2 linked regions of the Drosophila melanogaster genome follow. The protein of the gene in region 2 interacts with the protein of the main gene of each other region in a pairwise test. Each region holds a gene or a part of one and is shown on either strand. Other genes may lie near its edges.

Evidence for each region.
Region 1: the proteins of Obp99a (region 2) and CG14803 interact in a two-hybrid assay, tested with the Drosophila melanogaster proteins (one large-scale study listed by BioGRID).

Annotation. Positions count from the first base shown.
Region 1 is NC_004354.4:1,866,763-1,873,106, reverse strand, and holds CG14803 (uncharacterized protein), read right to left. Parts: upstream 4,185-6,344; coding exon 3,865-4,184; intron 3,810-3,864; coding exon 3,229-3,809; intron 3,164-3,228; coding exon 756-3,163; 3' UTR 699-755; downstream 1-698. Other genes in the region: Pgam5 (phosphoglycerate mutase 5), read left to right, coding at 1-134, 201-512; Pex5 (peroxin 5), read left to right, coding at 4,183-4,320, 4,393-6,099; MED18 (mediator complex subunit 18), read right to left, coding at 6,303-6,344. UniProt on the Drosophila melanogaster protein: Involved in recombination-dependent repair of stalled or collapsed replication forks.
Region 2 is NT_033777.3:29,669,820-29,673,135, reverse strand, and holds Obp99a (Odorant-binding protein 99a), read right to left. Parts: upstream 1,480-3,316; 5' UTR 1,421-1,479; coding exon 1,382-1,420; intron 1,314-1,381; coding exon 924-1,313; 3' UTR 802-923; downstream 1-801. Other genes in the region: ppk19 (pickpocket 19), read right to left, coding at 1-680; ppk30 (pickpocket 30), read right to left, coding at 2,264-2,370, 2,429-2,665, 2,728-2,926, 2,980-3,129, 3,194-3,316. UniProt on the Drosophila melanogaster protein: Present in the aqueous fluid surrounding olfactory sensory dendrites and are thought to aid in the capture and transport of hydrophobic odorants into and through this fluid.

The sequences.
Region 1 (6,344 bases), on a different chromosome or scaffold from region 2:
CCCAGGAGACTTCCGATATTATTCTCAAGCAGATCGATTTCGAAAAAGAGAAAGTGGTGAACTGTGCCTTCCTGCGTGAAGGAGCGCCTATTCCGCCCCAGCCGCCAGTCGGCCACTGGAAGCCGGAGGCATCTGTAAGTCAAGTCAAGGGTCAACCCAGTGCGTATTCCACATGATATTCGGCTTTCATTTCACTGCAGCAGTTCCTTCGCGACGGATCGCGCATAGAGGCCGGCTTTCGCCGATACTTCCACCGCGCCTATCCCGACCAAGAGAAGGAGAGCTATACCCTGATCGTGGGACACGGCAACGTGATCCGCTACTTTGTCTGCCGAGCCCTGCAGTTCCCCGCCGAGGGTTGGCTACGGATTAACATTAATCACGCTTCCATCACCTGGCTGACCATCAGTCCATCCGGCAACGTGTCCATCAAGTACCTGGGCGACTCCGGCTTTATGCCCGCCGAGCTGCTTACCAATCGCATACCGCGCGACGTCAAAAACGTGGTTTAGCCGTCTGTTTATAGAACTGCCCAAAGGAGAAGCAATCATAATGTATTTATTTCCAACACTTTAACTGAGACCTTGAGCACAGATCGCGAGACTGTGTAAACCACCATGTACATTTTGCCGCACCGTAACGTATATCTCTTAAGGAGGAATCATTGAATCTTCCGACTGAAATAATAAAGATTTTATAGAATGCCTAACATTTTATTGAGAATCCTTATATGTACAAAAGAAGCCATGAGGAGCCTAAACCCTGCTCAAGACCTTTTGGAGTCGCTGCAAGCACTTGCGTATGCCCACATCTTCTCCAGCGCCGCGTTTTAGCTCCACCTGCTCTGCCTGCTCCCTTATAAAGGATAGGATGGGAGCCACTAGATCCGGCGCCAGCTCTGCCAGGTTGATCAGCATCTGGAAGTAAAAGTAAGTGCAGTGGGCCAGGTGCTTTTCGGCGAGGGATCGCAAGTGATTGGAGCACATATCCCTGACCGCCTGTGATCGCTTGTAGGCATCGTGCGATATAAGCACTTTATAAAGTCCAAACACTTGGTTGCGACTGAGGTCCACTTCGTCCACGAACATTACGTGTTCCAGCAGCGGGATGTGCACGCCGCGCAAAACGGTTAGCAGCTGTTCTTCCTGCTCTTTGCCAGTGCTCTCTATCAGTTGCTGCATTATAGTGATCACCAAGCCCGCATGCTGTCCTGCCCTCCGCCGCTGGACCACCAAAAACTGGGTAACGAGGAGCTGAAGCACAAACTGCGCCAGCTCTCCATCTACATCCGCCTGGAGGAGGGTGGCATATGGACGGGCCACCAGCTTGGCGTTGGATGAGAAGCTAAAGTGCGGCGTCCAGTGCTGAACTAGTTGCTCCAAAGTCTTGGCCACGTATGCGTCCGTGCGGTAAGGCAGTCGACCAATGCCTTGCAGCAACACTGGGAAAATCTTGTGAACCACTTGTGGAAGGCGACCTTCGGGCGGCACTCCTGCCTGCAACTGCGTGGTGAGCAGGAACCGCACCATGGCCAGGTGGAAGAAGCAGCTCGGCTTGGATCGCACGTACGCTAGAGTGGAACAATTATAGATGACAATGGCTAGGAAGCTGTAGAACCGGGAACCGAGTTCCGATCGGCTTCGATCCGGGGGTAGCCATAGCTCGAAATGATTTACATAGGCATGCAGTTTGTGGCTCAACTGCATACGGACGTGGGCAGCAGCCTCCTCTTGCTGGGCACGCCTTCCCAGAGCTCCAAAGAAGGCGCAGAGAGGCTCGCGCCCGCCCTCCAAAGAGGTGGGATCAATGGCCAGAAGTCGGAACTCCTCTAGCTGTGTGACATGGGGCATTAAAGCCAATACAGATTCGTGTTGTGCGTTTAGGAGGACCAGAGACTTCACCCAGACCTGAAGAATGGTGGAGCTGGCAGGTCGCCCTCCGTCTTCCAACACCTGGAGCAACAACTGAGCAGAAGCAGCCATATTGATGGGTTCTGGTCCCTGCAGGAAGCCCAGTAGCAGTTTGTCCCCATTATTCTCCAGGGCGATGAAGTTAGCCGCTAGCTTTGGAAGCCATGAGCTATGGCTACTAACGTATTGGGTCCTCACCAGTGGCATTATGTGCTGTTGAAGTGCCTCCTTGATGCCACTCGCATTGCCAGCCACAGCTCTCCGCTCGCTGAGACGGAGGATTAAATTGTGAAGCGTCTGCCATACGCGATCCTGCGATGCCTGCCCACACTTTTCGACGTAATGTGCCAGCCATGGCCCGAGAAGCTGCTGCTCGCCGCGGTTGAAGTCATCCGCCAGATTAAAGATGGCTTGAAGGCTGCCCACATAAATGGCGCCCACCTCTGCATCATTGCGAATGGTGGCCAACTGGTTGAGCAGCTTGCTCACATAGTCATCCATAGATAGGCGATGCTGGGCATGCAGAAGCAGCAGGGCCATGTGTCCCTTGGCCACGAGAATCCTTCGCACCGGAGGCAGTTTTTCCAGGGCCAGGCAGAGCAACATTTCGCGCAGCTTGGGCGCCAACTCGCTGAGATCTTCGTGGCAGAGCAGCAGGCACAGAAACAGCTCGATCACATGGTGAATACCAGGCTCATTCAGAGCCAAAAGTTTCGCGGCACTAAACTTGCTGAATATGCGGCCGAGTAGTTTCTGACGTTGGTTGCTTCTGCCCTGCGATGGTAAAAGCTTCAAGGTTTTGCCCAGCATCCACGCGTACATGGTGAAACTGCTCAGATTCAAATCTTCTATATGCGACTTAGACAGCAGTTTGTTGTAGCGATCGACGTAGGCCGACCCATTGGAACAGGTAAGCGGCAGCTGATCTAGCTCAGTTCCCACACTAAAATTGCAGTTGAGGGATCGGTGAAAGTACTCCCACAGCTGGCACAGGACATCAGTATCCGGCTTGCCCAGCTGCAGTTGAAGGGGAGAGAGTTGAATTAGGTAGACCCGCCGCTGCTGTTCGTCCGGCTGGCTCGCCAGAAATTGCTTAAGCAGACTGGCAGTTTGGAAGCTTTCTGGTGCCGCAGTGAGCGGCGAGTGATCCGGCTGGTACCAACCCTCACTGTTGTATTCGTCCAAGCGGGCCAGTCCTAGCCTCAACCAGGAATAGAGTTCGTGGTATGCCAGAGAAATTGCATTGCTCTCACCTCGAGAAGAAAAACGACTATAAGATGAGGGGAAGCCGCACGGTCTAGCTTCTTTGTGCACTCACCCTGGAAGTGGAGTGACTTGTGCCTCTGCATGGCCTTGTGGAATAGAGTCCAAAAGTCTAGCTCCCGTTCTCCCAGCCATTTGGGAATAAGACGTTTCAGCAGCAGCCACAGCTCCTTGTTGCAGCGACACATGAACGGCGAGGAATGGATGAGCTCCGAGCGATGTTTGCTGCGGTAGTGATGTCCAGCACAAACGATCAGATCGTCGAGTGTGCGCTCCAGCTGCCCTAGGAACGCTTGATCATTCCCAGAGGCGTACAGTATATGCAGGTCCAGAAAACGCCACTCCAGTACGCCGTGATACAGGTGATACGCCGGCGCCTGGCAGTCGTTTCCCTTGTTGTGCTCCGCAAAATACAAAACCTTCCAGGTATCCGCATCCAGCTGATCGTTGAGCAATTGTCGAAACCCATCAAGAAAATGTGAAGGCAGCAGCTCATTGCCTCGTAGGAGCAGCATCAGATGGTAGAAGTGTGTGACCTGCTGGCGCACTCTATACCAACCAGAGTTCATAGAGGCGGCCGTGGCCTGCAGGTGTTGCTGGCCCATCACGACGGTTAACAGCTTCTGCACATTCTTACTGAGAATGGAAGAGTTGTACTTGTTGGCAGCTGCCAGGGGAGCTCTAAACTCACCAGGCCTCGCCGTACAGGTAGTTTCTTACCGCGCCAACCGCTAATTGAGCCGGAGCAAAGTCAAAACAGAGATAATCCAGGCGAGAGCGGGGCGGATCCAATTGGGCGTAGCCATTCCCCAGAAAGCCTCCCTCGCACAGTTGGCTCTTCAGAGTGTCTCGGCCACTGCAGTTGAACTCGGGCAAGTGTAGACCGTCGACTAGGTCCTCTTCGCTATCGTCCACGTCTATTTGCGCGCTCAGGGTTTCCTGCTTCTGTGTCGCCTGTATGAAGGTAGCCAGGATCTCCTCGTCATCCGACTGAAAAAGGTCGTAGTCCATGGTGCAGTCGGGGATTTGGCGTTCGAAACCAATTCTCTGGCGGATAAGATTTTGCGCGGCGATATATTTTATTATTATTAGAGCGCTGTGCAACACTGTCACAAAGCCGATAGCTTCGATAACGGCCGATAAACAGGTAATCTTTGTGACATTTGGACTTTTGTTTTGGACCTGATTTGGCCCCTTTTCTTATCGTTGGTTGCCCCAGTTACGTAGCATCTCCACTTCGAACACCATGTCTTTCCGCCCATTGGTCGAGGGCGACTGCGGTGGAGTTAATCCTCTCATGCAACTGGGCGGACAGTTCACCCGCGATGTTGCCCACAAGGATGAGGGCTATGTGCAGCGACACTTCGAGCGCGCTGCTCGTCCCGAGGACCAGTTGATCAACGAGTTCCTGGGACAGGTCACTGCCCCACCGCAGTCATTTCAGATGGACACTCTGCTCCAGGAGATGCGGGACATAAATATTCACGGAAATCCGCAGCAGCAGATGCACTCTCAGCAGGCGGAGCAGTGGGGACAGGACTTTGCCCGCGGACTGGCACCCGCCCTGCCCAACAAGATGATCCACATGCAGGCACAGCAGCAGGACCTGCAGCATGCCCAGGAGTTCTTCGACGAGCCCCTGATCAGTAGCCAGAACTTTCGGTCCCTGCCGCCATTGCGTCAGCCTTTGATGCCCATTGCGGCAGGACAGCAACAGGACCCCTTCTTTGACTCCGCCATGGAAACTATAATCACAGATCATCTGCCACAGGCGCCACAGGGGGAATCGCTGGACGACTGGATCAGCGACTACCAGCGCAGCACCGAACAAAAAGAGCAAACCGCCGCCAACTTCAACGAAAAGTTCTGGGAGCGGCTGCAAGACGAGTGGCAGAAGCTGGCCGACGAGAACGAGCATCCGTGGCTGTCGGAGTACAACGACAATATGGACGCTTATAAGGAGTACGAGTTCGCCGAGGGCAACCCCATGTCTGATGTGGAGAACCCGTTTGAAAAGGGTAAGGAGTACCTGTCCAAAGGGGATATACCCAGCGCAGTTCTATGTTTCGAGGTGGCGGCCAAAAAGCAACCGGAGCGCGCTGAGGTCTGGCAGTTGCTGGGCACTTCGCAGACAGAGAACGAAATGGATCCCCAGGCCATTGCGGCACTTAAGCGGGCTTACGACTTGCAACCGGACAACCAACAGGTCCTGATGGCCCTGGCCGCGTGCTACACCAACGAGGGCCTGCAGAACAACGCCGTGCGCATGCTGTGCAACTGGCTGACAGTGCATCCCAAGTATCAGCACCTGGTCGCAGCCCATCCGGAGCTGCAGGCCGAGGGCACTTCGTTGGCTTCGTCGCTGATTGGTCCGAGTAAGCTGCGCGATCTGCAGCAGATCTACTTGGAAGCCGTTCGACAGCACCCTTCGGAGGTGGATGCCGAAGTCCAGGATGCCCTCGGCGTGCTCTACAATCTATCTGGGGAGTTCGACAAGGCGGTGGACTGCTACCAGTCCGCTCTGCAGGTGGATCCCCAAAATGCGAAGACATGGAACCGATTGGGGGCCAGTTTGGCCAACGGCTCGCGCTCCGTGGAGGCGGTGGAGGCTTATCAGCAGGCGCTGCAGCTCCAACCGGGCTTCATCCGTGTGCGTTACAACGTGGGCGTATGTTGCATGAACCTTAAGGCCTACAAGGAAGCTGTGGAGCACTTACTCACAGCGCTTACCATGCAGGCTCACACTAACGCCGCCCGAGAGCTGCCCAATGCGGCGATGGCGGCTACCTTTAGAGGACAGAACCAGATGTCCGAGTCTATTTGGAGTACGCTGAAGATGGTCATTTCGCTGATGGGCCGCAGCGATCTCCAGAGTTATGTGAGCGATCGCAATCTGGCGGCTCTTAATGAGGCCTTTAAGGATTAACCGCCCCGCAGCTTCTTTATCACTGCTTTGGGAAAGTCCGTTGTTGTCGTGTCATGTGGGTGTGTAAGGTTGAATTTGAGATATTTTTTACTCTGGCAGTGTAATCATTCCCTCTCGGTTCTTTTCTGTAAATTTGTATATTTTCTTACATTTAAGAAATTAAATAACTGTTGGATAAATGCGATGTGCACTTTTATTGTAAACTACGGCATGCCGCCCAGTCGCTTGTAGTCGATCTTCTCGAG
Region 2 (3,316 bases):
GAGTTCTCCGAAATCATGGAGTTGAAGACCAAGCACTGGCCCTTCACCGTCTGCTCCCGTACGAAAAGTTTGCAGCAGTCGTAGGGAGTCTCATCGAAGACGCAGGAATCGGCGACGAAGAGTTCATCGCATCTATAGGTCATGAAGTTCATCAGGTCCGTCATTTTTAGATAACTAATTCCCGTCAGATTTCGTTTGGTCAGAATCCGTATCCGGTTAAAGTTGGAGAAGTTCATAATGTCCATACTGGCGAGTAGCTGGCGAAATGTTTCCCGGAGCTCGGCATTCGGATGACGTGGCAGAAAGCGGATAAATGCCGACGGAGCCCTCTGCCAGTTGAAATGATTCCAGGGGCAAACGGCCACAGCTGGAAAGTCGATGTGGTACACTGGCAACTGGGTGGTCTCTATCAGGCTGACCAGGAGCTGCTCGCTGTGGCGATGCATCAGCACGGTGTACAGACTGAATCCTGTGATCACCGCTCCCAGGACGATGGCGAGCCACAGGCAGCGCTGCCAGAGATGCTGCTCCCCGAAGACGTGCTGCATCCCATGGATGTTGGAGTGGGCAAAGGAGTTGCACAGTTTTTCCCGAAACTTAATACCACGCGGATTGTTCCTGAAGCGCAGTAGTCCTGGTCTCGGCCGCGGAATCACAAGTTCCTTGGTGTACAGCAACATGACGAATGGAAGTAGTTGGCCAAAGTTTTAGTTTAGTTTGGCTGCCTAAAAGCATATCCTCAATGTAATTGCTACTCGGAGTTGTTAATAAGTAAATTGAGGCCCCCATTGAAGAAGAAATATCTACATTCTGTTTTTCCCCACTGAATCGAGAAGGAATGCTCGAACTTGTATGGGAAATCAATTACTTTATTAACTAAACTAATGCTTATCGTTACATCCGTCCAACTAGGACCTAAGCCACTAGGCCTTCGGGGCCAGGCTCTTCTGGATCTGGGCCAGGTTCTCCTTCAGCAGACAGGTGGCTCCGCGGTAGGCCCACTCGCAGGCATTGGATCCCTGCTCGTTCTTGTCCACGCAGGCGGCCAAGGAGGCGTGGAAGGCCTCGTTGTGGTCAGCGTGGTTGCCCACCAGCTGTTGGTGGATGTTCTCCACGTTGAAACCGCTCTGGACGTCGAACAGGCCCCACTTGGTGAAGACGCACTTGATGTAGCACTGGGTCTTGGCGTCGTTGGGGTACTCCCACTTCTGGTACTTCTCCACCAGATCCACGGGCACGGCCAGCTCCTTGACGCACTCATCGCGGTAGGCCAGCATGTCGTGTCGGTTCTTCACCACATAGTCGGCGGAGGCCTATAACCCAAGGGAAGGCGTTGAATTATTCTGGTCCTGGTCGCCGTTTATCTGTATCGAGCACTCACCAGTCCAATCAGCACGCAGATGGCAACGAAAACCTTCATTTTCACTTTCTTTCCACCTATGTATGTATTCCTCCAGCGATCGAGCGAAGACTGTTTTGAAATAGGGCCAGGCAGCCCCTATTTATACGAGAGCGAGGGATCCGATTTGAGTTCGGGAATGGACTTGGTACCTGAGGGGTCTCCAAGGCGCGATTATGCTTGTAGATCCCCAGTTTATTTTTATGCTCAACTCCAAGCTGGGCATCTGATTCTTTTGTGATGGGCTTTTATGCTTGGGGGCACAAGTGGACAACAAAGAATCTGGAATCTGGATGGATGCCTTCTAATAACCTCCATGGGCTCAGTCGCTGATAAGACAGCTCCCCTTTAATCTTTGGCAAATTGGCGCGCTTATTTTTGTTGTTGCTGAAAACAGATTAATACCCACGTTTAGCAAACGCAGCATATTTGGGTGCACTGCAAAAAATACAGTCGCTGTGCAGAAAATTAAAAATACTTGCAATTACATTTATTTTCGGCATTTTATTGAAGGCATATATAAGTATGTGCTCTATAAGGAATTTATTTACTCAATGTTTCAAGTTACAAAAACAGACTTCTAAATTGAAAATGGATTTCTGGGACTTAAAAACAATATTCTTATTCAATTTCTTTTTCTGAAGAAAGCCTACAGTTTTGTTATGTCTGGTTGGAGCTGCACCTGAAAATTTTCCACTGCCATGCAGGTAGCTCTCCGAATGCGTTTTATTTTCTGGATTTGTTTATGTGCGCATCCCAAGAACCAGGTGAGTGGTGCATTTGTGTGTGCTTCGGTTACAGGTAAGTGTGGGAACGTGAGAACCCAGCTGCCGATGGCTGGTACTTCATGGTGCCAGCTTGGGCCTAGGAGCCATGGGGTATGCGACAACAGGCGAAGCGATCCAAGAGTTCGTTGATGCAACCTAGCACCGAGATGCCCATGATCAAACCGGCTATTCCTCCATAGGAAACTACAAGTGAAGGGTAGGGGGTACATGTCATCGCAGCTGTGATTGATCCCAAACTCACCCATTAAGTCGATCAGCGTGAAGCGGAGCATGGAGCGGTAAGAGAAGAGGGTCTCCTCCTGGAAGTACACATCTATCTCGATCGCTGCGGCAAGGTTGGTGTGGGCGCTCATCTTCTCCGTGTAGGTTGACGTGTGGTACTGGGTGTGACCGCACTGAGGAAAGCAACCGCAATCCACGGTGGAGAACACATTATCACGGGACTCTTCGATGATGTTGCTCATGGAAAAGAGGGAAACTAAGCGGAATTCAGTACATATATATCATATATATATGATTTAAGTTTAGAATTAGACCCACGTCGGTGCTGATTGAAGCAGGCCAGATCCTTCACACCGCAAATTCTACGTCCGTTGCTTTCCTTTGCAGCCGCAATGTTGTCCTCATCTTGAGTGGCCTTCACCGGCAGTTCCAAGGAGCAGTTGCACTTGCTGATGATGTAGTTGACGTGGCACTTGTAGATGCACTCCGACCGGGACTTTCCCGTTGGTATCTCATTCTAAGGTAAAATTAAGTTTAAGAGCTAGTATATATTTGGCTAAGGAAACCGACCTCAAAGTAACAACGACGCATTTGAACGGGACGTGCCCGGACATCCAACTCGGCTGTGAAATGAAGTGGTTCCACCGGAACCACGATGCGATCCTCTGAGGAATAGTCAATGCTCATGCCCAGCAACTGGGTCGGTTCGTGCACTATCACCTGGTGTGGTAATTACTCCATGTCATGACGCACTATCTATGTACATATGTCTTATCGGACTCACCCCCATTGTATTCAACGTATACAGACCCTGCTGCCGTTTGATCTTCACATTGAGTCCGCTATATGATCCGCATGAAGCCACGGACCAGGGCCACGTTTCATCTCTTCCCGAGGAGACCAGTGA